2 linked regions of the Bombyx mori genome follow. The protein of the gene in region 1 purifies or fractionates together with the protein of each later gene. This does not show direct contact. Links are inferred from orthologs where the notes say so. Each region holds a gene or a part of one and is shown on either strand. Other genes may lie near its edges.

What was found.
Region 2: the proteins of RNA-binding protein FXR1 (region 1) and protein lingerer purify together in Drosophila melanogaster (affinity purification with western blotting; 3 studies listed by BioGRID, with this or other methods). This does not show direct contact. The link is inferred for Bombyx mori from reciprocal best matches to the Drosophila melanogaster genes Fmr1 and lig.

What each region holds. Positions count from the first base shown.
Region 1 is NC_085112.1:15,601,126-15,617,385, reverse strand, and holds the start of RNA-binding protein FXR1, read left to right. Parts: upstream 1-7,382; 5' UTR 7,383-7,500; coding exon 7,501-7,551; intron 7,552-7,919; coding exon 7,920-7,972; intron 7,973-8,069; coding exon 8,070-8,223; intron 8,224-8,729; coding exon 8,730-8,893; intron 8,894-10,644; coding exon 10,645-10,812; intron 10,813-12,737; coding exon 12,738-12,824; intron 12,825-14,006; coding exon 14,007-14,154; intron 14,155-14,759; coding exon 14,760-14,903; intron 14,904-15,298; coding exon 15,299-15,436; intron 15,437-15,901; coding exon 15,902-16,025; intron 16,026-16,260. Other genes in the region: uncharacterized protein LOC119630931, read left to right, coding at 2,087-2,184, 2,623-2,843, 3,102-3,194, 3,300-3,392, 4,090-4,158, 4,246-6,404. UniProt on the Drosophila melanogaster protein: Polyribosome-associated RNA-binding protein that plays a role in neuronal development and synaptic plasticity through the regulation of protein synthesis of mRNAs.
Region 2 is NC_085134.1:1,833,049-1,849,516, reverse strand, and holds the start of protein lingerer, read right to left. Parts: upstream 9,153-16,468; 5' UTR 9,000-9,152; exon of another isoform or gene 8,594-8,999; intron 1,607-8,593; 5' UTR 1,560-1,606; coding exon 1,443-1,559; intron 1-1,442. Other genes in the region: TIMELESS-interacting protein, read left to right, coding at 12,008-12,155, 12,838-12,981, 13,301-13,437, 13,723-13,916, 16,277-16,468. UniProt on the Drosophila melanogaster protein: Acts in the nervous system to mediate the control of copulatory organs during courtship.

The sequences.
Region 1 (16,260 bases):
TATTTATTCACCTTTTAAAGCTTCTCTGGACTTCTACGAATAATTCAAGACCAAAATTAGCCAGATCGGTCCAGCCGTTTTCGAGTTTTAGCGAGAATAACGAACAGCAATTCATTTATATATATATATAATATAGATAGAAGATTGGTGGCCTATTTCTGCGGCGAAGTAATCTTGCGTTCCGGCTTAAAAGGTAGGGCAGCCGTAATGCTGTACAGTTGATCATTCGACCCCATGTATGAAGTTGGATGGCGGCATTAATCTTGTGATGCCTATTGGCTTGATTTTATAAAAGATTATCTGAATCTGATATTTATTTACTAATCAAAATAAACATGTGCATATATTCTATATTATTGGTACAATAATGAATGGAATATCACGAAGGGGAAAATCACCGAGCATAAATTCATGTCTGTGTTACTAGCGTAGCATTTGTATGTTCATTGATTATTACTAGGGCATCTAAGGCAAGTCGTCGTGGCCTAAAGGATAAGACGTCCGGTGTATTCGTATCTAGCGATGCACCGGTGTTCGAATACCGCAGACGGGCACCAATCTTTCTAATGAAATACGTACTTAACAAATGTTCACGATTAACTTCCACGGTGAAGGATTAACATCGTGTAATAAAAATCAAACCTGCAAAATTATAATTTGCGTAATTATTGGTGGTAGGACCTCTTGTGAGTTCACACGGATAGGTACCACCATCCCGTCTATTTCTGCTGTGGAGCAGTAATGCGTTTCGGTTTGAAGGGTGGTGTAGCCGTTGTAACTATACTGAGACCTTAGGTCTTATATCTCAAGGTGAGTGGCGGATTTACGTTGCAGATGTCTATGGGGTCCGGTAGCCACTTAACACCAGGTGGGCGGTGAGCTCGTCCACCAATCTAAGCAATAAAAAAAACTGGAAATGTCCCGGATTAGCTCGACACAGGTAACAGAAGAAAAAAAATTCCCGGAAATTTTCCCAGAAGGCGATCGGCAACCCATTAGAGCTGCTTGTCAAAGTGTCTCTGACCTACTGGCTAACGAACTTGATGTATTTGTATTGAGTGATGATAAAATGTTAAATATCTTATCCAAAAGCAGGTGCAACGCTTTGTAGTAATTACGTATTAACCAAACTTTTTACAAATAAATTCTGAAATGGACATATAACTTTGTTCTAAAAAACAAAACCACAAAAAATAAAACGTAAATATTTGGTGCTACATAGCTTCTATTAATTTAAGCAAGTCTCACTATCTTTCCTCTGTATTACAGCGAAGTAGTGCGGCGTTCCAGATTGAATGTTGGAACCATAGAGTTACTGTTGTAGGTACTTATTAACTCCATGGTTGGAACAGCGACCAAAATTAAGATATGTTGCGTGGTGTCTATGGACTCAGACATCATCTTTAACCACTACTATTGAATTTACACTTTAATTAAGTAGCAAAATTACAGTGGGTGGAATCTCCCATACATATTTTTTTTATATGGGATGAGATCCGAAGTTGTGACACAACACAGTGTTACCGAGCTAATTGGTTTAACAGAGTCATAGTAATTTTTATCAATACGTGAACATTGAATTTGAAAACAAACCGTACGTTCTCTTTACTTATTTTTATTAATAATATAGTTTTCTTTGCATTTCTGTAATGCTACTACTACTCCTGCGTCTTAACGCGTTAATTAGTGCGCTAAATTGGCATTACGCACCTAGCTATAGAAAAATGTAAATTTCCTTATGGCAACACTAAACAAAATGCCGGTTAAGCTTTGTTGTTTTTGTTTGTTTTGTCGTTTATTCATTTGGTTTTGATGAATAACACATTGAGTTATTTAAAAAACTAAATGGCATTTTAATTTTTTAATATCGCTTATAAGTTCACGTTGATATTTTTCGAGAAAAGACTTTGTTCACAAAATGATTTTGTAACGTGTTTTTTTTTTCGTGTTAATTTTAATATTTGCTGTTAAGAAATTTACTCCTCCTGTTTGGTCTTGTTTTTGTTTGTAAATTGTAAGTTATTGTTGTTGAGAAACTGACTCCTGTGTTGTTTAAATTTTTTGCGCCTTTTGCAAACTTTTTAACATGCCTGATACTCATCGTACTTGTGAAGTTTGTGGTATCAAAGAAAGACATCTTACTGAAAAACGGTTTTTCGCAAGGTTTCCTCTGGATGTCAATAGGTGAGTAAGTGAACTCCTTATTTGAATTTCTTTAGTAGATGGGTTGAAAGGGGTATGGAAGTATCGTCATTTTTAGAATCTTGAAACTTATTATTTAGGCTGTTGATTAGATATAAATAAATATGACAAAGTTTGTATGGAAATTCGTAATTTTTTAATCTAGAACCTTGAAACTTTTTGATGATGATTGATTTTTTTGCTTCTAGTCAGATATATGTAAATAATAATGTAATTTTAAGTTTTTAAATCTTCACCCTCGAGGGGGTAAAATAACAATAAGAAATAGGGGATAAAAGTATGCAAGGTATTGTGGGCACAGCTATTAAAAAATACTTCAGTAAATAATAGATACTTAAATTTGAAAAATGTATATATTTTAGTTTATAACAAGACCTATTTTAATTTAGTAGTAAAACTAACGCTCATTTTGAATTTTAGATGTAAACAATGGGTAAAGATGGTTGGCAAAGAAGATCTGGCTTATCTTCAAGTACATATGCTACATGATTTAAAACATGTTTGTGAAGCACATTTCTCAAGACGAGACTTTACAAAATCAAAGAAGCGCTTAAAAAAACGAGCTGTACCCAAACTGAACTTGACACTGCCACCATTGAGAGATGAAATTCTTCTTCAATTTTTGCAACTCAACTCGCAAGGTAATTGGGTACATATTTTCCATTTTGTACATTTTTTACAGGATTGAAATTTTTTTTGTGTATAAAAATTTATACTATGTAAAAATTTGTGTTAGCTCAGTTGGTACCTAAAATGCTCACTTCTCGCACATATGTCTACTGCATGGACCAAAGATAGTTTCTAAGTCCATTTATATCTAGACCACACTTTGAAATTCAACATGCTCTTGAGTGTAGAATAATTCAAAGTAAATTAAAAAATGTATGTTTTTATATCAGCGGATGTCACCCCACAAGGCCAGTTCGAGGTTCAGGCCGTTCCTAGTGCTTTGATGCCAGCATCCTCAAGTCAGCCTAGCGGTCTAGAGAAAAGTGAGAATCAGGATTGTTTAAATTTATATCAGCAAGAAAAGAAATACTAAATTTTAATCTTAATAGACATGTGTAATAATTTAAAATAATTAATTTAATTTTCAGCTGATGTCACCCCACAAGGCCAGTTTGAGGTTCAGGCTGTTCCTTGTACTTCAATGCCAACATCCTCAAGTCAGTCTAGCAGTCTAGAGAAAAGTAAGAATCGATTTCATGAAAGCAATTCTAAATTTTAGTTGTAACGAAGATCTGTAAAAATAGTTCAAAATTCCTACTAATATTATAAATGCGAAAGTAACTTGTCTGTCTATTACACTTTCACGTCTAAGCCACTGAACCCATTTTGATGAAATTTGGCACAGACAATTTGTAGACAGAGAAAGGACACAAAATACTATTATCAAGTGATAGTACAGGGACATGCGATATAACCGAATCCCATGCGGGAGAAGCCACAGCCGAAAGTCTAGTTTAAATAAATGAATATAATTTTTTCAGCGTATGGTTCTGGTTGTGTTTATTTAACAACTAGCGACCCGCCCTCGCTTCGCTTAGGAAACTGTCATTAATTATTGATTTCTCCACTATTTAATGGATGTTATTATACATATAAACTTTCCTCTTCAATCACTCTATCTATTAAAAAAAACCGCATCAAAATCCGTTGCGTAGTTTTAAAGATTTAAGCATACATAAGGACAGACAGATAGATATAGGGACAGAGAAAGCGACTTTGTTTTAACTATGTAGTGATACAACATGTTTAGTTATTGTTTTAGCTATTTTTTTTAATATTGTTTATTTGTATTGTACTGTTGGTTTCCCTTATAAATAAATAAAATATAATAAGATTATAATACATACTAATTCTATTGTACTTCATATATTTTTACAGACGTCACCAAAGGAAGCCAGCGGAAAGAAAGTGAAAGTCAAATAAGAAAAAGAAAATTAGAAGATGTTGGTGAGTTTTGTATTATTAACTCCATCTACTTATAGCACCACTTTTAACGATTGGTCAATAAGTATTAATGTAATTTTTTTGTTTTAGATGTTACACCACGGAAAAGGAAGCTCTTAAGTGAATTGAGAAAAACAAAGTGCACATTGGCATCATTAAAAAAGAGCGCGAAACTAATAGACAATTTATCGTCAGAGTTTCTAAAAGAAATTGTCACGTCTGCGTTGATAAATCAAAAGCGTAAGTCACAAGGCAAACGCTGGACTATTAAAAATAAAATATCAGCATTAGCCATCTTCAAGCGTTCACCAAAAGCTTACCGATATCTGCGATATCTCGCACCATTTCCGAGTATCAAAACATTGCAAAAATTAATGAAAAAAATACCTGTTGAGCCAGGTTTAAATACAGCTGTACTTGACCACCTGAAAAAACTAGCTCCCATTAAAAAAATAAGAGCAAAATTATGTTCGCTAGTCTTTGATGAAATAGCGTTAAAAGAAAGGTTAACTTATAGCGAAGCCACAGATAAAGTGGAAGGGTTTATCGATTATGGATATGAGAGGAAAGATGAGCTAGCAAATCATGCCTTAGTCTTCATGTTACAAGGTATTGGGAGAAAAATTAAACAACCGCTGGCATTCTATTTCATAAGAGGCACAGTATCTTCAGAAAAATTAGCAGTTTTAATAAAAGATATAATTAAAGAAATTACTAACTCGGGATTTCAAGTTTTATCAACAATATGTGATCAAGCGCCCACCAATATGGGAGCATTAAGTCTGTTAAAGGAGTGGAACAATGGTGGACATAATTATTTTGAATTTGAAAATAAAAAAATTTATATAATTTATGATATTCCACATTTATTAAAATCACTGAGAAATAACTTTTTAAAACAAGGATTTCTGAAAATGGGAGAATTGAAAGGTCAATGGAGCCATTTAGTTGAGGTAGAGGAACGAAATAGAAATTTTTTATATCTTAGCAAACTCAAATCAACTCATGTACAACCAAAGTACAGAGCTAAAATGAAAGTTAAGTATGCCGCACAAATATTTAGCCAAACAGTGGCTGCTGTTCTTAAATTATTAGCTACGAATGTGGAAAATGTACACCGATCAGATGAAATATTACAGACTGCTTTGTTAATTGAAAAATTCAATAAACTTTTTGATTATACAAATGGGCCATCAGGACATGCTGACGTAAAAAAAGGTATACGGGAAAACGTATCTGCTAAAACTGACCATTTAGCTGTTTGGACAGAATATAGAAAGCAACTGTCTACTTTAACATTTTTCAACCATAATGGCGTGGAAGCAAAAAATGTAAAGTGTGTTCAAGGCTACATTATATCATTAAAATCGCTGCGTGATATTTGGCTGGAAGTTCAGGATTTAGGATATAAGTATTTGAATCTACGGCAGTTAAACCAGGATGCATTAGAAAATTTATTTGGGTTAATAAGACAGCATGGTCAAACAAACAAGCATCCGACGTGTTCTACATTTATAGCAGCTATGAAAACCTCTATAATATCAGGACTTACCGCCCCTCACAGCAAAAACTCCAATTGTGAAGAAGACAAAAAGGAACTCATGACGGATTTTCATGATTTAGTTTTTGGGTTTAAAGACGAAGATGATCAAGGTCAAGATATTAATGAGTCTCCTAGTCATGTTTCCACAGAAAATGAAAATGAGGAAGACAACCCGGTTCTCAGTATACCTGAAGAAGAAGAATATAAAGAAATAGTATGTGACCTAGCAAAAATTTCAAATCAACCAGTGGTCTATATAAGTGGATATCTAGCTTCTGTTATTCTAAAAAAAAATGATTGCCAGGTCTGTAGAGAAACTTTGACAGTTGCAGATCCAGAGGAAAATAAGATTTATGATTTAATTAAATTAAGGGAGTGGTGGCAAGATAAGAAATGTTTGACATATCCATCATTGCAGTTGTGTCAAACTGTACACACTGCGGTTACAAATTTTGAACAGTTTTGTATCCCTAACCTACATAATAACAATATTTGCCAGTGGACAATTACTATATTTTATTCAAATTGTAATACAGAGTGGCTATGCATTAATCATCGTCAACAAATGTCAGACTTATTGTTTACAAAATTGGCTCTAATGCTGATTCGGCGACAGTGCCAGATAATTAATTTAAAGCAAGTTTCAAAGGAAGAGGATTTGGCGGACGCGAACAAAAGGGGTCAACAATATGGTGTTTCAAGATAATTACATAATTAGTTTTTATTTGTTTTTTGTAGAAAGAAGTTAACTTCGGGTTTGAGTTCAAAAAAAGTATACATTTAGAGATTTAGAACTTTATTTTTTTACTATTATAAAATAGAAGTTTTTAAAAATTTACTCTTCAAATGGAAATAGAAACGAATTGTTTTTTATTTAGCACAAAAATTTTCAAAACCTAGTTCGTTATAACATTATAAAACAAGGTTGAAAACCTCTACATGTATACTTATTGTACCTTGCATAAAATTAAGTAAATATTGGTTTATATTGTAAAATAAAAATTAAACATTTCCGATACAAACTTAAAATTTTTTGTAAGCGTTAAAATTCTACTTACAAATTTCATTAAAATTATACTAAGTAATAAAACATTGTTTTATTTCTTTTAAAATAATAAAGTTTTTATTTCAATATGCAATCCTTGCCTGCATTCGATATCGACAAAAATATCGATAATATTCGCATCATTATTTATTGGACATCGATATTAATGCCCATCACTATTTTTGACAGTGGTAGGATTTTTGTAGTCTGTGGTTGTTTTAATGTTGTCACCAGATCGGATCTGATCCCATACATTTTCATTTTGTAACGTTTACTATGAAGTGCGGACTCTTATAACGTAGTGATTATATACTCTTTGGCAAAATTAAATGAACAAGCAGTAAATTCAAATAAGAAACTTGGTAAATAAAATTTAATGCAGAATCTGGGGTGAACTTAATTGTTTATGATCGGAATCAATAGTTTTACTCGGAATTAGCTGAGTTTACACTGTATGGTGGCGTTAAGCTATACATTTGATTTCTATGAAATATCAATTCAGAAATGAAATGGTCCTCTGTATTTCTTTGTTTAAAAAGTGAATAGGTAACAGATTAGACACTAGATTTCACAGGGGAATTCCAAATTCAAAACGTATCAATGATTCATATTGTAAACTTATTTCACAGTGAAAGGCAGTGCTTTTAAAAATAAATCTATCATAGTCTATGCTTGAATTCTCTAAAGCGATTGGTCAGTGAACCGCTGCGAATATTCGTTCTCGTTCGGAAAACGCCAAATACGCTTTCAAACCAAAATGGAGGATTTGTCGGTCGAGGTGTACGGTGAAAATGGTGCTTATTATAAGGTTTGTAAACCGTGAAGTACGCTAAAATTTGAGTAAACACGCGTCCCTCTAATTAGTTTACAGATCAATCAATCGTAGCCGATGACCAGGGCAGTGATATGTCTTATACTTACAAAAATATTTTTCCGGGAAGATCTCTGCTGGAATAGACGCCATGTCCGTCTGACAGGGCGTGATTTTTCCATGTGTTGTAATAATTTTTATGCTTGTAGTATTTTTAGAAAATATCGTGCAGTAAATGGATGTCTGCTCCTCATGTGGTGATTTAACATTAGCGTATTTTCGCGTAAATGACCTAGTTATCACATCCGCAGCGCATCACCAAGTTGCTGTGGCTTTAAAATGTTCCAAAAATTCTTTATTTTTAGGCCATTGTCACCGACGTGCTCGACAACGAGGTTCTAGTAGCCTTTGAAAATGAGTGAGTTTATTTATATTTAGTATGTAAATTTATATACTAGTGTATAAACTGTCTTATTTTTTGTAAATTTATTGACTACGTTTGATTAAATTTTTAGCTGGCAGCCAGAATCAAAGTTTCCGTTTTCTCAAGTTTTCTTACCACCTAAAGACACTGGCAAACACACAGAATTTACTGAGAACCAGGAGGTGGAAGTATTTGCTAGGTCTAATGAGAAAGAAGCGTGTGGGTGGTGGACTGCAAATATCAAGGTATTGAATTACACACACATATATTAAACAAATCAAAATATGATAGAATTTTATTCTAGAACAAATGTTTTCGAAACTACCCTTCATCTTGTTTACTTGTACATGATTTTCTATTTTAAACCCTAATTTCTACCCTCCTTTTTGCTTTTTTGTTAAAAATTTTTGAAAACTTGCCCCAATTTAACTTAGTCTGTTTGGTTTTATTTCAAAAATATACTAAGATTTGTTGCAATTTAACTTCAACAAATTTTATTAAAATTTTTTTTAATTTAATTTATTAAAAGCGAATTAAACATTTGGTTACTTCAATTTAGAGTCCTTTGAAGTATTAATCCAGAAATACTGCCTGTATACAATATCAAATACAGCAAATCTTGCTATGTTAAATTCATCACATTGCATAATAATGTCTAGACTATATTTTTGTTTTTGTTTCTATAATAGTTTTATGTAGAATGTGGAATTAAGAATCATATATGCCAATAAAATGTCAATATTTTTTGCAGATGATGAGGGGTGATTTCCTTGTGATAGAATATCTAGAATGGGATAACTGTTATACGGAAATTGTGCCTAAAGATCGTCTTAGGGTAAAATTACCGAAGACCCCAATAGACAAAAACACATTTCACAAGTTTGAAATAACAGTACCTGATGAACTGAAGGACTAGTGAGTTATAATTTGAATTATAATATTTATAAAAAAAAAACATGCATCATATTGAATAACAATCACTTCCCAGTTGGAATAATGTCTCCATCATGCTATTATAAAAGTGGGTATAATGTATGCTAGTGTTATTGAAGTCCCATGCAGCTGTCAAGTGGTCTCTTACAAATTGGTAGCTAATGGGATAATAGAAAATCTTAAGATAGCTACTCTCCTGTAATATTTACTAATGTAATAAATATTTCATATACATTTTTAACCAAACATGACCACTAATAAAGCATATGGAGTAATTATTATTACATATAACTCTTACACATCTAACATTGTTGATATCATCTCTTTTGCTAAAGTAAAAATACGTAGTTGTTCACTAGGGACCACAAACAAACATATTAGAAGTATCATTAGTTGGTAGAAGGGAGATTGTGAAGGGGTAGGTACAAGAATTCAGTATCTGTTTTGAAATGTTCATATTCATATTATTCATATCTGTAGGTAGGGGAGTTTTTATATCAATGCTATTTAGACTTGAGTTGTTAAGGTAGAATGGATACATTGATACTAGTAATGTTAGTAGTTAGCTGTAAGCTGATCTGCCCAACATAGCAATAAGAAAGTTAAAGAATATGTGTAATGTATTCAGTCTGTGAACTATTTATGAATCTATTGAGTCTTAAATTAAATTCAACCCTCCTGTAAAGGTTCCAACTCCTAAAGTATGACATAATCTGCATTCATACTAGAAAAGATAAATTGAATTATTATTCCATTTATATATTGGTCAAAATTTTAAGAAAACAAAATTTAGTACCTGAAAAAAATTTGTTGCATTAATAAATAGTCTGATAACTTCATAAATACTAAAATATACCTAACTTTAAAATTGAATAGGAATATAAAGATCAATATGTTGACTAAAACTGAGCTTATGATATTTTTGGGATACAGGTGTTAAATTCAACAGTGTGGGCAAAGAGGATATGAATTACTTGTAATTTTTTGTCTATTACAACTTAAAATAACTTTTTAGTTAACATCGCTAAATGCTGGCTGGTGGGTTGATTCTGTTTGGACAAACCTTTTTTTTAAATGAGAAACATGTTTATTTGCTATGTCTGAATGGTTTATTGTCATATATTTAATTGTTTATAAATTTTGATGTCTTTTTAATATATCAGTCTGGTTCACCATATACCATACTACAGGAAATAATTGTTTGGGGAAAAAAATTAATTGAAATTTGTTAAATATTCAAAATTAATTAAAGGGTCAAGTCAAGCAGTATTTTAATAAATAAAACCATTGGTAAATAAACCAACTGAATTTATTATATTGAATACGGTGGTCACTTAAAGAAAAACTTCAAAAACCTCTCAGCCTTGTTACAACTATAAAATATACTACAAATTTGTGCTTGCTTGGGGTACAGCTCCCATAGGATAGCATTACATAGTTAGTATTTCCATTTAAATTTTATTTAGATATTCACATCATTTTGACTAGGTTTCATACTTTGTGGAAGTTCTGAGGTAAAGGAGAAACTTTAGCTCTGTTAATATCTTGTATAGCATGGAACACTTCAGGGAGGAATTGTTTTGGGGGTTCACACTTTCATTTTTACCTAACCATGAGTGCTATAATATGTAAGATCAAAATGATTTTGAATGGAAGAGTGAATAATTAGTCGGACACAAGCATGGCTGATGTTGAGGTTGGGTCGGCAGTAACTATATGGTGTACGTGTGCAGCCTCCACGACATCCACAGCGCGAAGGTGGAGAACGCGCACAAGGAGTTCCAGAAGGCGATCGGCGCCGCGCTCGTCTGGTACGTGCCCGAGCGCGCCGTGCTCGCCGTGCTCTCCCGCTGCGCCTCCTCGCAGCGCCGCGCCACCATGCTGCAGGAGATGCACTTCCGGTACCTCCACACCCCCACCCCACCCCACCCCACCCCACCCCACCCCACTACACTACACTACACTACACTACAGTTGAATATGCTATTTCGAAAAGGGCACATCTCTGAATATATAAAATGTTCAGGAAATGAAAAAAAGTGATTATTTTCTAAAGCAGTGTAAAATTTAAAATATTAACTTTAGAGACATATTTTAGTGTTAATTGGCAATTGAAAATTACTGGAATTATTATAAAATGGGTGTAGGTAAGCCTCAAAACTACATGTATATGAAAAAACCTATTTGACAAAATATGCGACATGTGCCCTTTTCGAAATTTCATATTCAATTATAAATGCTAGCATTACTAGCTTTATTAGTGTGGACGGTCTTAAAACTCATGCCACACGATAAAAGGACATGCTCCGACGATGTCACGTAATATAGGATTAAAGCAAGAAAATGGATACTATTATTATCAATCACTACATGTGATATTTGTGTTATAAAATCTATGGACCGCAGTCGCTCTATAACATGGCGTCCACTGTGATCAACTGTACTTGTCTATGTAAGATAAAAAAAGATGTTTCTCCCGCCTGTCGAAATTATAGCCTAGCCGATAGATGAGCACTTTGTATAAACTCTATTTGGGGTACTTGAGCGATCTGACTATTTGATTGAAATTTCTTTTTATTCGAGACCGCTGAGGTACTTGATGGGGAGTAACCACCATACTTCAGGGCCATTAGCAAATCTAGATCTGCAACCAAGCTGTAAGATAATAGAAATGATATCAGTCAACAGGGCAGTTACTGGTAATACTAACAGTTTAAATTATTCAGCAATGTATAGGTAATATCTTAAATATTAACATCTCTAAACGTAATTCGCGATACCCACATATACCATCAGAATTATCTATCCGGCCATGCATAGCCTCCTCCGACTTATTGAAGGATAGGGATAATGCTGAGAAATATTGACCATACATTGGTTAGTTACTTCACTTGATATTCATGTGTTTGAACTATATGGCCACCTACTCCATATCAGGTCACGATCATCACAACAACCAAATAAACGGGATATCCAAATAATAAAGAGACTTAAAATCTACAATAGGAATAGGTTAGCTTGTAACCTCACATTGGCAATGTTCGTAATTAAACACCGACTAGTACAATCCTTAGAAGCCGAATATGACACATAACTAATTGTAAAAAAAAATACATGTACTTGCCAAATTTTATATTAAGATTTAGTGTCTCGTGTCTTGTTTTAATTGATTGCAGTAGTAATAAAGTTTATTGTGGGACATGTATTGCGCGTTGTGGAAGCGATACCTTTCACTTTTCACGCAATAGTTCGCAGGTTCGGAACTAGGCATGTGCTGATAGATGTAGCATATTTCTTTTTCTTTCTTTTTTCTTCACATTCCTCTAAGTCATGTGAATTTTATCCAACTGCTCAAAGATGGCGGCTCATTGGGAATTGTTTCAAATCTTTGATCGCATTTACCACGTTTTGAATAAACAGATAAATTCATTTCGCTTACAAAAACAAAATCTAACAATTTCTAATTGAAGTAGACCGTAACAGCTGCTACACAATGTTCTTGATTGAAATAGTCATGGAATGCTGTTACACACTAATCTGTAAAAACAGGTATTGCTTTCTTCCATATATAAGAAGTTATAAATTACAAAAAATATTGTAAATCAGTAGATACATACATAAAGTGACTAGGACCAAAAGGATTAATCCTAGGACCAAAAAGGAAATTAGACAATTTAATGCACCGTAAATTCTGACTGAGAATATCTACTCACTGAATCTAATATTTAATATGGCATGGATCGTAGTCATGGTTTGGTTACATGCAAGAAAATAACCAAATGGTTTTGTTTTATATAGTAATAAAATATTAAATTTTAATTTTCAGAAATTTGACCCAGAAACTTATGTTATTGAAGAAAACAGAGGAGGCAGCGAGGCAGCTTGAATCTACGAAAATAAACAATCAGGGCGGGTGAGTCACTACTGTACACGTGCTCTCGTTATGATTCTCGAAAAAATCGTTTTTGTTTAAAAAGTGAGAAACTATTATACTTTCAAACAGTTTAAATAACCTACTGTGAAGTAGGAACCAGAACAAGTTAATTATATTTCTGATACATTCAATATTCAGCATTGAACAAGGATCTCAAGTCAGAAATGTTGACTTGTGGTCCTGTTTTGTTGAACCAATAGACTCAGGCTTATCTCAATATAAGTTTAATGGTTGAACAAAACTGGTGCTAACATTATCTGGAGCCCCCAGGACCGCCGGCCCTTTAGATTGTGCCGAGACGGTAGTATTAGGCTCTCCACATTTTTTACTCTCCTCTTAATTCTCTACATGAGTACACGATCAAAGTACGCACAAATGCAAAAAATGACTACACAACCACAACACTTTGATTACTGACTGTTGACACATTCACCTTTATTAATTAATTAACAATATTTAAATTATTATTTTTGAACAAAACTGAGTTAAACAAAAGGTTGTGTAAGGATGTTTTATTTTCCTTGACATCTGGCGCTTTGAATATTCAAATATAACTATATAATTGTAATATTTCTCTGGAATTAATTAATATACTTTAACTAAATTGCAAAGCACAATTTGTGCAAAATAAATACTAAGAAATTTGCTAAGTCAATTATATATTTTTTCATTAGTTGTTTTTATAATATTCCAAAGGATTGACAAAGGACAAAGGATTGCAGTAGAAATTTTTCTCAATTTAATTTCTTGGCTTTAGAACAAGTAATGATTATTTTATAATTTCTGCTGGTTAGAATTTTACACTGGTGTGTCATGTAGGACCACCATTTGGTTGATTTCTTGGTCTATTTGGTAATAATGGTAATTAATATCCGAAAGGCCAAATGCTCAAGTTCTTTCTGAATTTTATTTTAAAATATTTCTAACTTCGAGCTTGTGTGTATTTGTTTTTAACATCTCCTCAGTATGTTTGTGGTACACAATAAAAATGAAATTACAGGATAATATAAAAATTGAAAGTTTGACTAACTGCACACTTCAACTATGATCGTAAAAATTAATCGATTAATTTGATATAGCAGTAAAAATTATTTAATTTATTAATTTATTTATAGCAGAAAATCAATGAACAATGTAATAACAAAAATGGAATGTGCACAGATACACCGAAGAGTTCAGCGTGCGCGAGGAGCTCATGGGTCTGGCGATCGGCACGCACGGGGCCAACATCCAGCAGGCTCGCAAGCTGCCCGGGGTCTCCAACATTGAGCTTGAGGAACTCACGTGCACTTTCAAAATATGTGGAGAGGTAAATGTACTGTGTGGAAGCACGTCAGAGCCATAGCAGCAGGAACCTCTTAGATATTTCTTTAATACATAAAATATATCAGAAGGGGTAAATGAGTTACAAAATTGTTTGGTTTGTTTGTTCTTAAAAATATTGCTGTTGTTTTCCACTACTTAATAAAGCCTGTTGCTGTGGGAGCCAGGGGTGACAAAAGATAATTGTCAGTCCTTATCCAGCGTTCGACGTATCGACGCTTTTATTCAGTGATCTAGTTAAAGATTTGTACTTGTTGCTATTACGAGAAAGATTTTCTCTCTTACAACACTAACATAAAATACAATTATCAGTCAATTTGTCTCTGTTTTATGTGACAGAACAAAGTTTAGCGAGCATTTTACTTTTTTTATGAAAAAATAAACAATGTTACTTTAAAAGACATATAATGTAACTGGTAAAAGATAAAAATATAATGTTGCAAAGATGATTAATATCAAAAATATAACATGTTAAACCTTTAAAACCCTCTCCTGTAAAATGAGTAAGTTTTGAGATTATAGAGTCCTTGCTGCTGTGCTAGTAACTGGGACTACCGATGGGCTGTTGAGTAACGTAGTGCGTGCGCGCAGTCGGCGGAGGCGGTGCGGGCGGCGCGCGCCGTGCTGGAGTACGCGGAGGAGTCGGTGCGGGTGCCGCGACAGCTCGTCGGGAAGGTCATCGGCAAGAACGGGAAGCTCATACAGGAGATCCTGGACAAGAGCGGCGTCGTCCGGGTAACCTACCGTCCACACTATTTATTACATTTTTTATTTTTATTGCGTATATGGGTGAACCAGCTCACGGTCTCCCAATGTTACCGGAGCCCATAGACACATACAACCTAAATGCCGCTACCCACCTTTAGGTATGAGTTCTAAGGTCTCAGTATAGGCAGAAACAGGTGGGTAGTTGTACCTACCCGTGCGGGTTCACAAAACCACCAGTAAAAATACCTTAATAATTAATAATATAATTAATTAATAAGCACAGATTTTTATTTACTTGCTATAGTTTAAGTGGTTGTTTTAATGATTCAATGTATAATTGAATACAGACCTCGCTACTTCTATGTGTAGATTAAATTCCAATATTTGATAAAATTTTGTAAAAGATGAATATGTGTTTATAGGTGAAAGTAGAAGGCGACAACGAGCCGCAGCCGGTGGGCCCCCGCGAGGACGGCGTCGTTCCTTTCACATTTGTCGGTACTAAAGAAAACATCGCCAATGCTAAAGTACTTGTCGATTATCACATTGCGCATCTCAAGGTAAGACAAGACGCGAGCGTGCTTCTAGAGCTTAACTGATGTAAGGCGGGCTTTGGTGTAATCGATGATATTACTGAATTATTTCAATATATTTTTCCTTAGCTGAGAGCCTTGGTAGGCTATATCAGCGTAACCTTAACTAGTAGATGAGCTCCGGGGCTCAAGCCTGAAGACGCTGCTAACACGAACCCTAGCAAGAGCAATGCTTCGCAGAATCTACAACCAGATCGGAAACGCGACCCACTGAGAAGATCCGGCGAGAAACTCAGTGGACTGTGTCTGTGGGTTAATTTACTCGTCTAGCCCTTCGTCGCAAGCGACGGGTTCGACAAGAACGATGACCGGATTTCAAATCACAAACCACTTATATGTTTAGTGGATCGAGCGTTCGCCCGCATCGTTGTTCAGTCGTATCTACCACAGTGGTCTTGTGCTACGAGTATTGAGTAGTTTGTTGCGTTGCAGGAGGTGGAGCAGCTCCGACTGGAGAAGCAGGAGATCGACCAGCAGCTGCGCGTGGTGCTGGGCAGCGCCGCCGCGCACCCGCCGCCCCCCGCGCGCGCGCGCCGCCCCCGCCGACCCCCGCCAGGTACCGATATGTTTCAATTCTATTTTAATTTATTTATTACAAGCGGTCCGCTCCGGCTCCGCTCGGGTCTTTAACAAGAATTTCAACGATATTTGACGTTGTTTTATTTTTTTGAATAAAAAAACACTTATTGCGGCATAATTATAATAGTTATACATATGTTGTCGTGACACTTTTTGTAAATAATAATGTCTTCTACAAAGTCGTAGCACATTATTTTATTCTATCATCAATA
Region 2 (16,468 bases), on another chromosome or scaffold:
TGGGAATTGTCTTGTCACTTAACATTAGGTGAACTGTTATTAAGAGAGTAAGACTTACACAGTTCATTTACATTTAACTACATCACGATAGAAGAAACAAATATTTAACAAAGTCGTGTGCTCTCTGACCATTAAAAGCAGTGTCGGATTAAGCAAGCGCGGGTCCGTAGCAAATTATTTCAAAGAGCCCTTGATCTACTATGGGTTCTTAAGTATAAAGTGGTAAAAAGCTTAAATCGAACCATTTCAATTCTGCTACACATCCACACTGTGTCGGGTAAGAATGCTTGCATACGTCAGACTTTTTGTAGAGCTGATTATCAGGCTGATTGGCCCGTAGCAATTGCTACTCTTGCTATATGGTTAATCCGGCACTGATTAAAAGTAATCAGGGATTAAATTGTAACTGTATAGGACTTAGAACTCATATCTCTAGGTGGATAGCGGCATTTACATTGTAGATGTCTATGGGCTCCAGTAACTACTTAACACCAGGTGGGCCGTGAGCTCGCCAATACATCTAAGCAATGAAAAAAATATATATTCACTACTACACACAATACGTACTAGATCGATATTGAGAGCTTGTTCTAAGTTCAAAGTTCGAAGTTTACTTATTCAAAGAGACTAGACTTATCAAAATACCTATTATGTATACAAAGAGCACATTAAAAACAAACTCAAATCTACAGGAAATAAATCCATTCAAATACCTAGTTATATCTAAATTAAATAAAACCGTGTGCATAATGCGAGTTTTTTAACGTTCTCGATAGTGTAAAAGTTAACTCATATTTGTATGGATTGAGTAACGTGACCATACGTCCCGATTTTGGCGGGATAGTCCCGCTTTCGGGCATTCTGTCCCGTTGTCCCCAGTGAGGCCGACATAGTTCCGCTTTTTCAAACAGACCAAACGATAAATTTATTTTTCAATTCAATATAAAGCTAGAAGTGTTTAAATGGGCTAATTTAACAAAAGAGGTACAGACTATTACAGAGTACTAACTATTTTTTGTTTAGTGCTTTGATTCTTTTGTGTTATTCTATCTTCTGTAAGAAAATACTTGTAAAGCACTAAATACTTTTTTTTATTATATTATATTTTCGCAGATGTCCCGCTTTGACAATAAAAAATAATGGTCACGTTAGGAATGTGGTCGTTTGCGTACGTTTGCCGCTAGGGGCGCTGTTCCGATTGCATACAAATTTGACTTAACTTTTACGCTATCGAGAACGTTAACTCGCACTAAGCACACCGAACCATAGTTCAAAGTTCGAAGTTTACTTATTCAAAGAGACTAGACTTATCAAAATATATACGAATACGAAGAGCACATTAAAAACAAACTCATTTCGATAGTAAGTAAATCCATTCAAATATGTACCTAGTTATATCTAAATTAAATAAAATCGAACCGTAACGTTCCGAGTTCACTGACCTGCGGTTTGGCCTTCTCCTTGGGCTGTGGTCTATCTGCGCCCTTGCCCTTGTCGGCGGCGTGTTTGCCCTCCTTGCCTTTCGCACCACACTTGGTGGCGCGCGCTCCCAAACTCATTGTTAACTAAATTTATTTTTATATTTACAGCCTCTATTTACAAGCAGCTGTGGACAAAATGAGCTTTTGTTAATTTGTTTTCGATAAGAGGTTTAATCTAGATTAGAGATTCGTTTCGCTTGTTTCGGTACAATTATGTTTAAATATTATGGAAGCAAAAAACTAAAATAAAGATGGCGCTCCATGATATTTTGACACTGGAAAAATTGTCCTTAAAACTACGAGTATTATATAACAGCAACAACGAAGTTTATCTCCAATGTGGAATGTAGTCGGTACGAGCTTGTCCATATTTTTTACCAACTTCAAAAAAGGAGGAGGTTCTCAATTCGACTGCATGTATTTTTATTATATTTGTTACCTCATAACTTTTGACTGGGTGAATCAATTTTGATGATTATTTTTTTATTAGAAAGCTGAGGCTTCCCGTGTAGTCCCGTTTCAATTTAGTCCAGTTCTGATAATGGTATCCATGAGAAAACCATGTAAGTCTTAAATTTGCATTAAGTACGTGCGCAACAAACAGATGATTAACTCAATATCATGCCAACCGATTTCGATGATTAATGTTTTTAGTTAATTTGTTTTGGAATATATTTTTTTCTATTTGAAGTCGGTTTTTGTTAAAGCATGTCTATTTACAATCATTTTTGTAATTACAAACAACCAATTTTTTTTTTCTAACGATATCTCAATTGGGCCATTGAAAATCGCACTTAACAGCAAAACGAATGAATAAGAAACTCAAAATTACGGCGAACGGTGGTCTGTTACTAATGGAACCTTTTTTCAGCTCACATGGCCACCCTGCTTGGCTAGGTGGAACATCCCTTTGTAAAATTAAGGGTGCGACCGCGGGCACGTATTCATATTGTGGCGTCTATGATTTTGGATACCCATATCAAATCAAACAGTTGGGCCTCATGTCCCAAAATAAAATAATACAAACTATTACATCAAGATGAGAATTCGACAGAAGGATATCTTTGATTTTACGCCGTCAATATTCCCAAAAATATATCTACATTTCAATAGTGTTTGATACAATTGGCAAGGAATCAAACATTGCTCTCTCACATCTACCGCGTTGTACACAATATCATTGTGTGACATTAAGAAGGGTTGTATCGAATTCGAAAAACGGATGCATCACTTCACGGCAATTGGTTAATAATACATATGCAATCGCAAGATACATCGTTCGATAAGGGTCAGCGTGCTTCTGTTGTAAAATCTGCACAAGGCCAATCGGACGGTCGTAAACTTATCGACTGGACTGGTGTAACAAATGGACCGTTTGCATACAAAGTATTATACATTAAGATTGTATCTTTGTCTGCTAGTTTGTTCGTGTTCTATGCGTTCTGTAAAACCGGATGGATTGTTTTTTAACAGGCTTTTATTAGCTCGGCCAATGTTCCAACCTTGTTTCTATGCATCTATGTAACGGAATCTTTGGACGTGATTTACAACCCCTTCAAAATGTCAAAGTTGTTTGAAACTGGTCACACTCATCAAGGACCGATGACAATACAATAATTTAATAAAATTGTTCGATTATCCTATTCAGCATTTTTAGGTTTAAAACTGAAAATACGGTACGAAATAATAATAATCTGTTTTTTCCAAGTGATGCACTAAAAAGCCAATTCTTCTTTACTATGAAATTATAATCGTTAGAGATCAAGTTTAAAAAAAATGCTTTTTAACGTTTCTTAGCGTGTTAAATAAGCGTACAGCCCATTACATAATCATTAAATATTATTCAGTACAATTAAAAAAAAAAACATGTGCCGGTGCCTACGAGTATTTCTTTTAAAATTTCTTTTTGCAATCATTAATTATATAACAAAAACAATGTGCGAAGTAATTGAGAATCTTGAACGAAGCGATGTTAAAGAAACAGTTAAGGGACAGCTTCCATAGCGTCAGACCATTAAGAGCAAGTGGTTGTGCATATCTGTTGCTTCCCTACCTAATAGGTCTAGGAAATCTTTTTTGTTATACGATTATGTCTACCACTCCCACGTACTTACATCTATTGGTATTTTTATTAAAATAAATTTAATAAGGAGGAACCTTACCTAAAATTATGGTAAATGCCTTTTTTACATTATTCAGGTATTCAACATACGCATGAGTAAAACATGAGAAAACCTAAACGTTGAGACGCAGCTGGTATTTTTGTATTTGATCTCATCTCAGTGGCGAAAACAGGAAAACACTTTTAGTAGAAAACACAGAAATTTTCTAAACTAGAATTAATTTAATTTAAAAAAATCTTCGTCACGTCTCAAAGTCTGGAATTTAAAAGCTTTTATCACTAGTATCAGTTACATAAGATCGACGGTTAGACTTGGACCTCGTCAGCAGATTTGCTTACTAAAAAATGTGAGCAAGCAAATTTGATCCCTATTCAATGACGAATATCTTCGTCAAGTCAACCGTCCACGTTTTTGATTTAACCAGTCACGACATTCTAGAATTCTCTAGAATATAATATACCTTCTAGTATAATGACGACCTACTGGCGTTTTGGCGATTTTTTTGACATATTAGCATTAGTCACTGATTGCATATTAATTTTGTTGTTTTTTATTTGTTACTAGCTGACCTGGCAGACTTCTTAGTGCCTCAATCGATAAATAAAAGACCCTAAGCTTTTGTATAAAATAAACTTAAAACATTCAAAAGAAATCCGTCTGACGGGACGCATGAAAGGAAAAACAAAATTGTTATTTTTATTTAATTCAGAGTATTTTCATGTTTATTTACCTTTTTAACCTTCTCTGGACTTGCACAAATAATTTAAGACCAAAATTAGCCAAATTCGGTCCAGCCATTCTCGAGTTTTAGCGAGACTAACGAACAGCAATTCATTTTTATATATTTGTTATTCTGTTTGATTTTTAATATGTAAGAACGATTATTAAAGTCCACAAAAAAAGTGATTGCTTTAAAATGTCCGAGTTTATTTAACACAGAGGGTGCAGTTTTTGTTATACGATTTTAATTAAAGTTAGCGACTTGCTCAACTTAAATACCTGTGACTTTTCAATGAAAGTACATTATAATAATTGTTTTATTTGTATTATTCAGAATATTTATTCTTAGGCAATACACAAGAAGCTTTGGTATTGAATTTCAATCTTTTACTTTCAAAAGTGAGGGAGCATCGCCTATTAAATTTCAATCTTGGGGGTTTCAATTTTCACCCTATTAAGGGGAACATTTTCAAAACGTCGATATATATACACGTATTTATTTCTACCCACATATCGTTCTTCTTACTTTAAAAATGATGAACTTCTTTGATGAAAACGTTCACCCGTTATTATTATTTTTATTACATACTACAGGTGAACAAACTTACTGTCCACATGCAGCTAAATAGTTATCAGAGCTCATAGACATCATGATATGAAGCCTCAGCTTCAAGTGGCTGTTCCAAATTTCTAAAGCGCATTTTTTTGTAACCTATGCTGATAGCCTTGAGAACCTATTTCGGTGTTGCCTTAGCGTGTAGGTGATCTCTGGGGGCTCAAACCGGAGGTGTTGCTAACACTGGCCCTAGCAAGAGCAGTGCTTCGCAGAATCTACCACCGGATCGGAAACGTGACCCACTGAGAAGATCCGCTGAGACACTCAGTGGACTAAAGCGCATTAATGCTTCATGTAAATTGGCAGGGTAGCGGTACTCGACCGGGTATCCGTAAATGGATTCCCCAGCGTTAAAAAAGGGTAGCGGTACAAACCCGTGGGGGCTGATTAAGACACCCTACCTGACAATAATTACGCAAATTGTAATTATACCGGGTTCGTTTTCTATTACATGATGTTACATTTACATCATTTACATCGGGGAGAAAATGATGTACACCGATTCCTACCCTCCATAAAAAAACATTAAAGCTTAACTCATTTTCAGGTCACACATCAGATATAAACAATTCAATTTTACATAAGAAAAAATACGTTAAAAAAACAGTAGTGTTGTTACTAAACTTTAAGACCTCGACAGTTTTCTGGCCTTATGACTCAAGCGTTTGCCCCCAAAAGCTGATGTCTAGATCTTAATATAACGAACTCATACACTACTGCGTTAAGCATTAAGCATACTGAACGTAAATCTTTAATATGAAGTTGATTTAATAGAACAAACTGTAAGGAGAGTGAGTACATACTGCATGACTGATTTTGGTATACTTTAGTTACATACTTGCACTTATCGATGACAATTATTATTATTTCGAAATGTACAGGCATATTTTTCTTTATTTCGTTTCCCTACCTATTCGCTGGTATCCTAAGAGGCTATTCCCGCTTCGCGCGGACGGGTCGAGTCATTTTTTTTAAATATTTGATTTGAATATTTCCCATAACTGAAACTTTCATCTACAATAAAATAAAATAAAATGTTAGAGCCAAAAAAAAAGCAGATCTAATTGTTACTTTTAATCCCTTTCTTTTGATTAATAATATTTAGTGATTATATTTCTGTTTAAAAGACAAAAAATCCTGATTATATTAGAAATACGAATACAATTTAAAATATTCAAATCACGAATACCCGATCCAGACTCTGAGCTAGTGAATTGACTTAACTTCGCAAAAACACGCTACACGTAATAAGAGATTCGTAAGACGATACGTTTCTTATCATCAGTGAGAAAATATTTAACACAAGGCGTTTTTATTCGTGCGCTTTCTCAAAATCATGACCAATCACTTCATAAACTCATGTACAGGATAATATTACTAATTAAATATGATCTGCCTTTGAAATTCGATTTGGTTTTTAATCAAACAATATTAAAATTAAACTTTTCTTGTTTTATTGATAATTTTCCTTTGATTCATGAGGAAATTCTTGATGTATTTAATGAATTCGTAAAATTGGGTTAGCTCTAACATTTCTATTGAATATTACACAGTAAGCTTTTGCTACTACAGAACGAGAAAAACATTGGTATAGTCAGTGAATGAAAGATTACCAATAACAGAGAATAATTAGGAATCAACAAACCCCGAGGTATTTTTATTAAAATATTCATGATATCCCAAGTATTATTAAGAGAATTGGCTTACAATGGCAAAAAAAGTTCCAATTTACTACTAAAATAACTACTACTTTGGTACAGAAATAAACAATATATTAAAATGTTTTGCATATAGATTTTTTATTCATACAGTTTTGACTTATGCCACATTCAGATAAATTGATTGTACTGTTGTTCAATTTGAAATAAAACAATTTTCTGTACAAGCCTTTTAAATATAAGATCTCGATTTGATTGTATGACTTCTATAAACCAGAAATATTTAAGGAATTTGAGGAAAAAAAAATAGAAACAGAAGAATTGTGCAATGGATGATGAAAGAAGTCATCAAACTAAATACAACCTTCAAAAATGAAGATACAGACTCGGAAGAAAAAGAAAAATGAACTTCATTTAATTATCATAAGACTTAAGATTGTTGAGCGAGTAAGAATGGAAACATTTTAAGCCTATTAATATTTTATATGGATTTCGATGATGGTCTTGATGAAAAATGAATAATTCAATAGGTTCCAAAATTGCAATGTTTCATGGGCAATCAGGAAATTTTATTTTGATTTTTATGTTAATTTAGTTTAGTTCTTTAAATTTTTATTTAGCATTTATTGTACTTTATTTAATAGGAAAGTATATTACCAACTTTATGAACTAACAATAAAAATATTATTATGAATAAATTCATAGTACTAAATTATAATAATATATGATTAAGATAATCCCAAAGTTCAACAAACTTTATCAGTTTATATACATTGTCAAAGTTTGTAAACAAATCAAGTCCCCAGACACTACTATTAATTATGAATACAAAATCCAATATATCAATCACCTCAATGTTCTTATGATTACCAACATTCTATTCTTGTGCCACAGATGCAGATTTTATTCTTTTGTAACCTTTGGTAACAATAATACGTTTAAGACCTTCTTTCCAGAAAAAGAAAGAATATTTTCGATTGGAACTGTTGTATTGAACATGGATTTTATATGTTTAAAATAAAGTGGATTTTTTAGTTGTGCAAAGCTTTTAATATTCTTTTTCAGCATGGCAACAACATTCTACATAACGTAAAACCTAGCTCGTTGGCACAACGTGATATTTTGTGTGGAATTATTATACCAGGTTTATTGAATGAGATAATTATTATAATTAAATTGAAATCAAAGAATATTTAGAAATTACAGTGTTATGGTCAATTATATATTCATTAGTTAAGCTGTATATTTGTTTAACAAATGATCCTGAGATATATTTCTGTAATCACAAATGTAATCACTTACTTTCAGTTTGCTCATTTTCACAGAAAATTATTAATACTAAGAAGAAAACGGTTTTTTCATACTTCATAGTGTTATGACAATGAAATTTTTGAGGTCGCACTCAAAATTTAATTACATATTGAATCCTACCACTAAACTAAAAATTAGCCTACTTGTCTGTTGTTTTACTGTAAAAAACTATCTAATCGTTAATATATAAGAACCATAAATACCATAAAAATAATTTTAATTCCATTCCCGCCATTATTAGTTATTGATTAATTATTTTTATTATAACTTTAGTATTTTATGAATTTTGACAATATCTTATTGGACTCTTATAACAAATGTACCTACGTAATAAATTATATTTCGTTACAGGATTTGGCTTGTATTATGTAATTACATTCTGGAAGAACAGGAAATCCGAAATTTCCGATTATATTCAGTAGGTACCTGCTAAAATGCGAATCATAAGAAGTCTGAGAAGATTGTAAGTCTTATTGGTGTAATAAATACATAAATACGTCATATGAATGTAAAATTAAATAAAATATTTAAATCGCTTGTACGAAATAAATGCATACACAGCGGTAAAATTGTAAACAAAACAATTGGAAGTATCTTCGGAAAAATGACTATTTCCCGTAATAAAGCTTACGTAACATCAAAATAAACATTCTTTACGAATTATTTACCGCCTAAAATATTTACCGGTGGTGTTATTTCGGCGTTATCCGCAAAATTACGAACAATGAATCACTGGTCAAGTTTTTGAGACAGCGCAAGGATTTAAAGGTTTTACAGTAAACTCTACCGATCAACAGACACATGAATTATTGCACGCCATATCAACATTTCACGTCATCAAATTTTAACACCGCCAAGGCGAAACTCAATAGGGCATCGGCACATGTGGGGGACGCCATTCTTGAAGCACCATTCTTGGTATCAAAATGACAGCCTTTGTCGCAAAAATAACCGTGCACAGCACAAATCAACATATCTTTCATATACACATCAACACAATATGCACAACTATTTAATATTCTTTACCTTAAATCTACGGTACAGTCCGAAATTTAACTGATTTTGTAATAAAATTGACCGATTTCCATACCTGTGAATGCGCTCAAACGCAAGCTGGTCACGTGACTCCATAGAGTTGTGACACTTAAATTTTTCGCAACAGTTACGGTTTTTATTTTTTAGTTTTATAATCTGTGAGATTATTTTTATGAAAACTAATATTTTTATTTACGCGTTAAAAATGCGCGTTGGCCACATTAAGGTTACAATACCGTTAAGACTTCATTCCTCGTGAATTAACGCACTAACACACAACACTCACAATGGAGCTTGAAGCAGCTAAACTAGTTGTGACAGTGAGCGTCATAAATTATTTTATGCATTTATACAATTTAAAAAGAGAGAAAAAATGAAAAAAAAGAAGTTTGAATTCAAGAAAGATGATTCAATTGCAGATTTTGTGTATTTATTTAACGTTAAGATGCAGGTAGAGCAGTAGGATTAAACTTATAGCAATTGAATTTTTGCAACAAAAGTTTTGAACTTCATCAATTGATTGAAAACACCACGAAATAAACGACGACTTTTTTTTTTTTTTTTTTTATTGCTTAGATAGGTGGACGAGCTCACAGCCCACCTGGTGTTAAGTGATTACTGGAGCCCATAGACATCTACAACGTAGCCGCGCCACCCATCTTGAAATACAAGTTCTAAAGTCTCAGTATAGTTACAACAGCTGCCCCACCCTTCAAACCGAAATGCTTATTGCTTCACGGCAGAAAATAGGCAGGGCGGTGGTACCTATCCGTGCGGACTCACAAGTGGTCCTACCACCAGTAATTACGCAAATTATAATTTTGCGGGTTTGATTTTTATTACACGATGTTATTCCTTCATCGTGGAAGTCAATCGTGAACATTTGTTGAGTACGTATTTCATTAGAAAAATTGGTACCCATCTGCGGGATTCGAACACCGTTGCATCGCTTCAACACGAATGCATCGGACGTCTTATCCTTTAGGGCACGACGATTTCAATGATTATAATTTTATATTGCTTGTAGCCCACAAGTAACCTGTTCATTTATTTATTTTACATTTAGAAGAAGTAGATCATCAAGTTTTTCTGCTTTGGTAGTTAATAGATAATAATTATAATAAAAAATAATTTTGCTATGAAAGTTAAATTTTGAAAAGAGGACCGGTATTATTATCCCTAAAAAACGATTGAAGTCGATTAAGACACAGGACGTTCGTTAATTACCGTAAAATGGGGCGATTAGGGACAAATTCCAACTTTATGAGCAATTTTAAGGTAGTTGTTGATGTATATAATGCTATATCAGGATCAAAATGATTGAGTCTTGGGGGCATCTTTGTTGTCTAATTTAAAATTATGCAAGTAGCATTCCAGTTTAAGCAAAAAATGCAAAAATAGGTGTAATCCCTATTTACCCGGAAATTGCGGTTAATTGGGACGAAATGAGAAATTTGCTAGGGTTGGCACTACTTTTATTTTTATATATAGTTTTAATTAATTTATTTATTTAGTTGCACCAACAAAGTGATCGTCAATAAAAAAAATTGAAAACTGACAAAAGTACATGGCAGACATCACCTCAATTATAGGTGCAATCGACAGTGCAGTAACAACAAAATATATATATATATATAATAATATGTATATTTACACATATATAGTGGGCTTTCTTAGAAACGGTTTATATTTCTCCGTTCTTGGTAAGTACTTAGGGGCTGATATTTCTATCTGGGTTAAGAGATTAGGTGTGTCGGTTATTCCATGGATTAATCAGATGAATACCCCCACTCTGAACAAATATTAAATATTTTATTATGTATTACTTACACATTTTTGTCCACCTTGATATTTCATTGATATTGTTACATGTCTCTGCAAAATCGACTTACTTATATTAAATTGCTTATCTATTTCAACTAAAGACTTATTCCCAATTTCGCTTCGATAAACCAGATTTTTACCAACAAATTAAAAAAATATTGTTATAACTACATAGACAACCCTACAAACCTGTACCTATTTATACTTAGGTTGTTTCCATTTCAAGTATTCTCATCCCAATTGACCCCTTTTTCGTTGTTATTTGTACCTAAGACGTCCCCAATATCCCCAAAAACAACAGATTTTTACATGTATTTTTATTTAATCAAATACATTAAAACCAATAACAACTGAGACTTACCTTTAATATATATGCTGGTTCAAACACTAAATAACGTTTATAAATCATAGTCGTCTTCTATTATTATCAAATAAATAAAATAGAGCAAAGTTTCTAGCACTAAAATAATTACCACCACAGGAAGTTAATTTGAAACGCGATTTTTTATAAGTTAGCAGCTATTATCATGCATATTCAGAGTTGTTTTGTGAACTTTCAACATTCTACTATTAAACTACAAAAAAATGGAAGATTTTGCAACGAATATAAAACTTATATTGAGCGTCGAAAGATTTTCCCGGTTTTTTCCCGATTCGCCTTTCAATCCCTAATCGCCCCATTCTACCGGTACTTTTATTTAAGTCACGAAAATAAAAAAGGCATCCGTTCAAAAATTTGATATTTTTTCACAATAATCAGATTTTATTTTCACTCAAGTCAATCCTAATTTTTTTTCGAGACGTTACAAAACATGATGTTTTGATTAGGACATGAATATTTAGCCATCTGGGAAATATGCTTAATTATGCTTCCTATTTTCACAATCATTCTTTTCTTCGATCAATTACTGATACCTAGTTTTCGAACACTGCCATATACCCATAGATTATACACATAATATATTTGAGATATATATACCGCCAAAACATATGTGGCTGTTATTAAAATTTATTTTGTCAATTAAAAAAAAGTTCTAACCTCAACGTATGTAGGTATCGTAGGTGTATTAATATTTATTTTGGTTCAGACAGAGTACAGTAATAGAACCAATATAACGTTAAATTATAAGTTACAAAGAGCTATCGATATACAATTTATTACAATTATACACTACGATCGTGAAACCTACAGACGTATACCCTGTTAATAAACAAATAAGCATATAACTGAATATTTAAATGTCTCTTTTGGAAGATGTGTTCCTTCAAGATGAAGCTAATGAGGCTCGGGAATTGGAGCGGGTAATCGACGGTGACGAGTTTGACGACGATCAACGGGCATCATCACCAGATAGTGATGATAATAGCGCTAAAGGAGACGAAGCCGGTAAGTACTTTCATGTGTAGCTGGGTATTATTAACACAATTTTCTAGATCGATTCTCTAAGCGATAAGGCACGTCGATCGTACATACCATTTGTTATAATTTTTTTATTCGAATCGAAGAACATAATGTTTAGTGCAAACTAACACACAAAAAGTATATCGTCGTTGTCAAACCAAAATCTGCTATGTGCAACTTTTTGAGATTTTTACTTTTTGACCGTTTCGTATAGTTCACAGCCCTGTCTACCGTACCAAAAAAAAACTGTACTGTGTCTATAGCTTTAATATTTATCTATAGCTTTCATTTGATAAAGTTCTTAAAAATTAATCTTTATATAAAATTTTGTACGAAAATGTTTTTAATCGTTCATTCAAAATAGAGTTTTTGCACATAGCAGATTTTGGTTTGACAGCGACGATATCCTGAAACAGATATATGGTTTATCTTCTTCTTGATAGTTTCACCCTTGACAGAGCGGTTGTGACGGTCATTTAATGTTGGAGAGGACAGATTTGACGAAACTCACGATATACCGCTGTCTCTCCCTGCTCGAGGTCTTCCTACTTCACTCATTCAGGGGACCTTCCACTGTAGTTTCTGCCTTAAACAGCCGTAAAGAAATAATGCACCTAATACTTAACTTAATGATTTCTGTGTCAATCCAGTTATCAATGCTTTTCAGAGGAGGATACTAGACGTGTAGATCCACAAGCCAAAACAAAACGTGTTGTAAGGAATCCAAGGTTCATACTGAACCCCGCTCGTCTGACAGGGCCAAGAGGAATACAAGTTATACCTGAGCATTTCAAAGATTTTAAATTTAGAGGTAATATTTTAATTAAACAAATGTTTGCTATTAATTTAATATCTGCACAGACTAATTATATTCATACAGAAAAATTCTAACTTTATATTGTTGCTATATCAAAAAAAGTATAGTGAAATTGGTTCAACTGATTGTGAAATGGCCCACTGAAATGATACACTAACTATTGATTTAATTAGATGATATTATCAAATGTATATTACCATTTTATAATAAATTGTTTACGATGATAATTAATTTTTAAAATTTAAACAAAAATACATTTTAAGGTTTATTGGAATTACAATTTAATAATTTTGTATCCTGTTATAAATTACAGGTAAAGGTCACGAAAAAGAAGATTTAGATTTAATACTCAAAAAACTAGAGCATTGGGCATATAGATTGTATCCTAAATTTGAATTTGAAGACTGTTTAAAGAAAATAGAATCACTCGGCAAAAAGAGACCTGTAATGGTAAGAAATCTAACTGTGTGCATCATTTTGGCAATAGTTTTACATTATATTCATCTTTGAATTCCTCTGCAATTTGATTCACTCACTTTTTATGCTAATTATGTATTGTTGTTTCATCTGTTTGTAATTAAATGTGAAGAAAAGTACATTCTTATGTACACTGAATTTATAAAGGTTGGAGAATGATGCTTAAAAAATTGGCATAGTCAAATACAAGCAGTAACATTGAGCCAATGCTTTTCAATATGGACTTAAAATTAAACAAATATAATTTCTCCTCTACAGGTACATCTATGCAAAATTCGTACAGATCAGATTACATCAGAAGAAACAGTGGTACAGAGGGATTCCAGTGAAGATGAGGCACCACCACAAGAAGAAGACGAATTTGACAAATTACTGCAAGAGCAAATTGCACTGGCCAGGTCCACGCCGGCTCCTGAATCTGTAAAAAAAGTTCGAGACAAGCCAATGAACATGTAAGTATTATAGGAGTGGTAAATCTCAGACAGCTTATTTGAAATTAATATATCAACACCATTTAATGATATTTAATTTTTAAAATCTTTTTTTTTTTTTTGTCTAACCAAACTGCCAGAAGTCTCAGGGAAATTCTAGCTGCACTGTGATTGGGTGACCAGCACGAGATCTTAGCAAGAGCGAGAGCATTGCTTTGCGGAAAATACGCAAATATCTACATATGTATTTAGTAATCCTGCAACTTTCCGAGAGGATACTATTTTTTTTTTTTTCCTACCTAAGCTGGTAGCCTAGAGAGGCTATTCCAGCGTAACCGTAACTAGTAGGTGAGCTCACGGGGCTCAAACCTGACGACGTTGCTAACACGAACCCTAGCAAGAGCCGTGCTTCGCAGAATCTACCACCGGATCGGAAACGCGACCCACTGAGAAGATCCGGCGAGAAACTCAGTAGGGATACTTGGGGTCGACATTTCGAGCGATGTCCAGTTTCGGAGTCATTTGGAAGGCAAAGCCAGGTTGGCGTCCAAAATGCTGGGAGTCCTCAACAGAGCGAAGCGGTACTTCACGCCTGGACAGAGATTTTTGCTTTGTAAAGCACAAGTCTAGCCTCGCGTGAAGTACTGCTTCCATCTCTGGGCCGGGGCCCCCAAATACCAGCTTCTTCCATTTGACTCCATACAGAGGAGGGCCGTTCGGATTGTCGATAATCCCATTCTCACGGATCGTTTGGAACCTCTGGGTCTGCGGAGGGACTTCGGTTCCCTCTGTATTTTGTACCGTATGCTCCATGGGGAAGTGCTCTGAGGTATTGTTCGAGATGATACCGGCATCTCGTTTTTACCACCGCACCGCCCGCCACCGGAGTAGAGTTCATCCATACTACCTGGAACCACTGCGGTCATCCACAGTGCGTTTCCAAAGGTTTTTTTTTGTCACTTACCATCAGACTATGGAATGAGCGCCCCTCCACGGTGCTTCCCGAGCGCTATGACATGTCGTTTTTCAAACGAGGCCTGTAGAGAGTATTAAGCGGTAGGCAGAGGCTTGACTCTGCCCCTGGCATTGCTGAAGTCCATGGGCGACGGTAACCACTCACCATCAGGTGGGCTGTATGCTCGTCTGCCTACAAGGGCAATAAAAAAATATATATATGCGTAATACGCGAGAATAAACTCAGCTTTTTTTTTATTGCTTAGATTGGTGAACGTGCTCACAGCCCAGCTGGTGTTAAGTGGTTACCGGAGCCCATAGACATCTACAACGTAAATGCGCCACCCATCTTGAGATATAAGTTCTAAGGTCTCACTATAATTACAACGGCTACCCCACCCTTCGAACCGAAACGCATTACTGCTTCACGGCGGAAATAGCCGGGGCGGTGGTAGCTACCCGTGCGGACTCACAAGAGGTCCTACCACCAGTGATTACGCAAATTATAATTTTGCGGGTTCGATTTTTATTACACGATATTATTCCTTCACCGTGGAAGTCAATAGTGAACATTTGTTGAGTATGTATTCCATTAGAAAATATGTTAGTGTTATGAGTTTAAATTTTGAATTCTTCGGGTGTCGAACGCGAGTTCGAGGAGTATGGTAAATAGTGGTCGAAATGCCTAAAAGCACCAATGCAATCCGAAAGAACGCATCTGAAGTCAACAACAACTCTAACATGGCAGCACCTATCTGTCACTTTGTCATGTCTATCTATCTATCTAATGTGTTGATAGTGGTATTAAGAATGTGAGTGAATAGGTATTCATTAAATCTTGGCTTGATATTGAATGCCCTGCATTGTGTATAAATGCAGGTGTCTATGGTTCGTTCTTCCCTTTCCTCTCGGTGCCGTTGCACGGTATGCACGCTATACTTTAAGTTCCTAATTATAATATTTACTAGCTGACCCGGCAAACTTCGTAGTGCCTCAATCGATAAATAAAAGACCTAAACTTTTGTATAAAATAAACTTAAAACAAACAAAAGGAATCCGTCCGACGGGGCACACATCAAAGGAAAAACAAAATTGTTATTTTTATTTAATTCCGAGCCTTTTCACATTTTTTCACCTTTTAAATCTTCTATGGACTTCCACGAATAATTCAAAATTAGCCAAATCGCTCTAGCCGTTCTCGAGTTTCAGCGAGACTAATGAACAGCAACTCATTTTTGTATATATAGATTGTACTGTCTGTCCGCTTGATTACCATCAATAAACTGCTGGATGTTTACTTGTTCTGGAACCCCACGCAAGTTCCACCTGCACGACTAACACGAACCAAAGGCCCGCGTGTCATTGACCTGCTCTAATAAGTGGGACATGATATAATAATACTTTATTGTGAAAATGTTTGATTTCAGATCTCAAATACTACCAAAAGCAACATCGTCTCCTTCTATAAACGAAGAACAACGAGAAAGGATGCTTAGAAATAGGCAATTGGCTGAAGAACGGCGTTTGGCTAAGCTCAAACAAAATGTCAATGTTGAACAAAAGCGAATTAATAATGATAATTTAGAAACAAACAAACAGATTGATGATATAAACAAAGT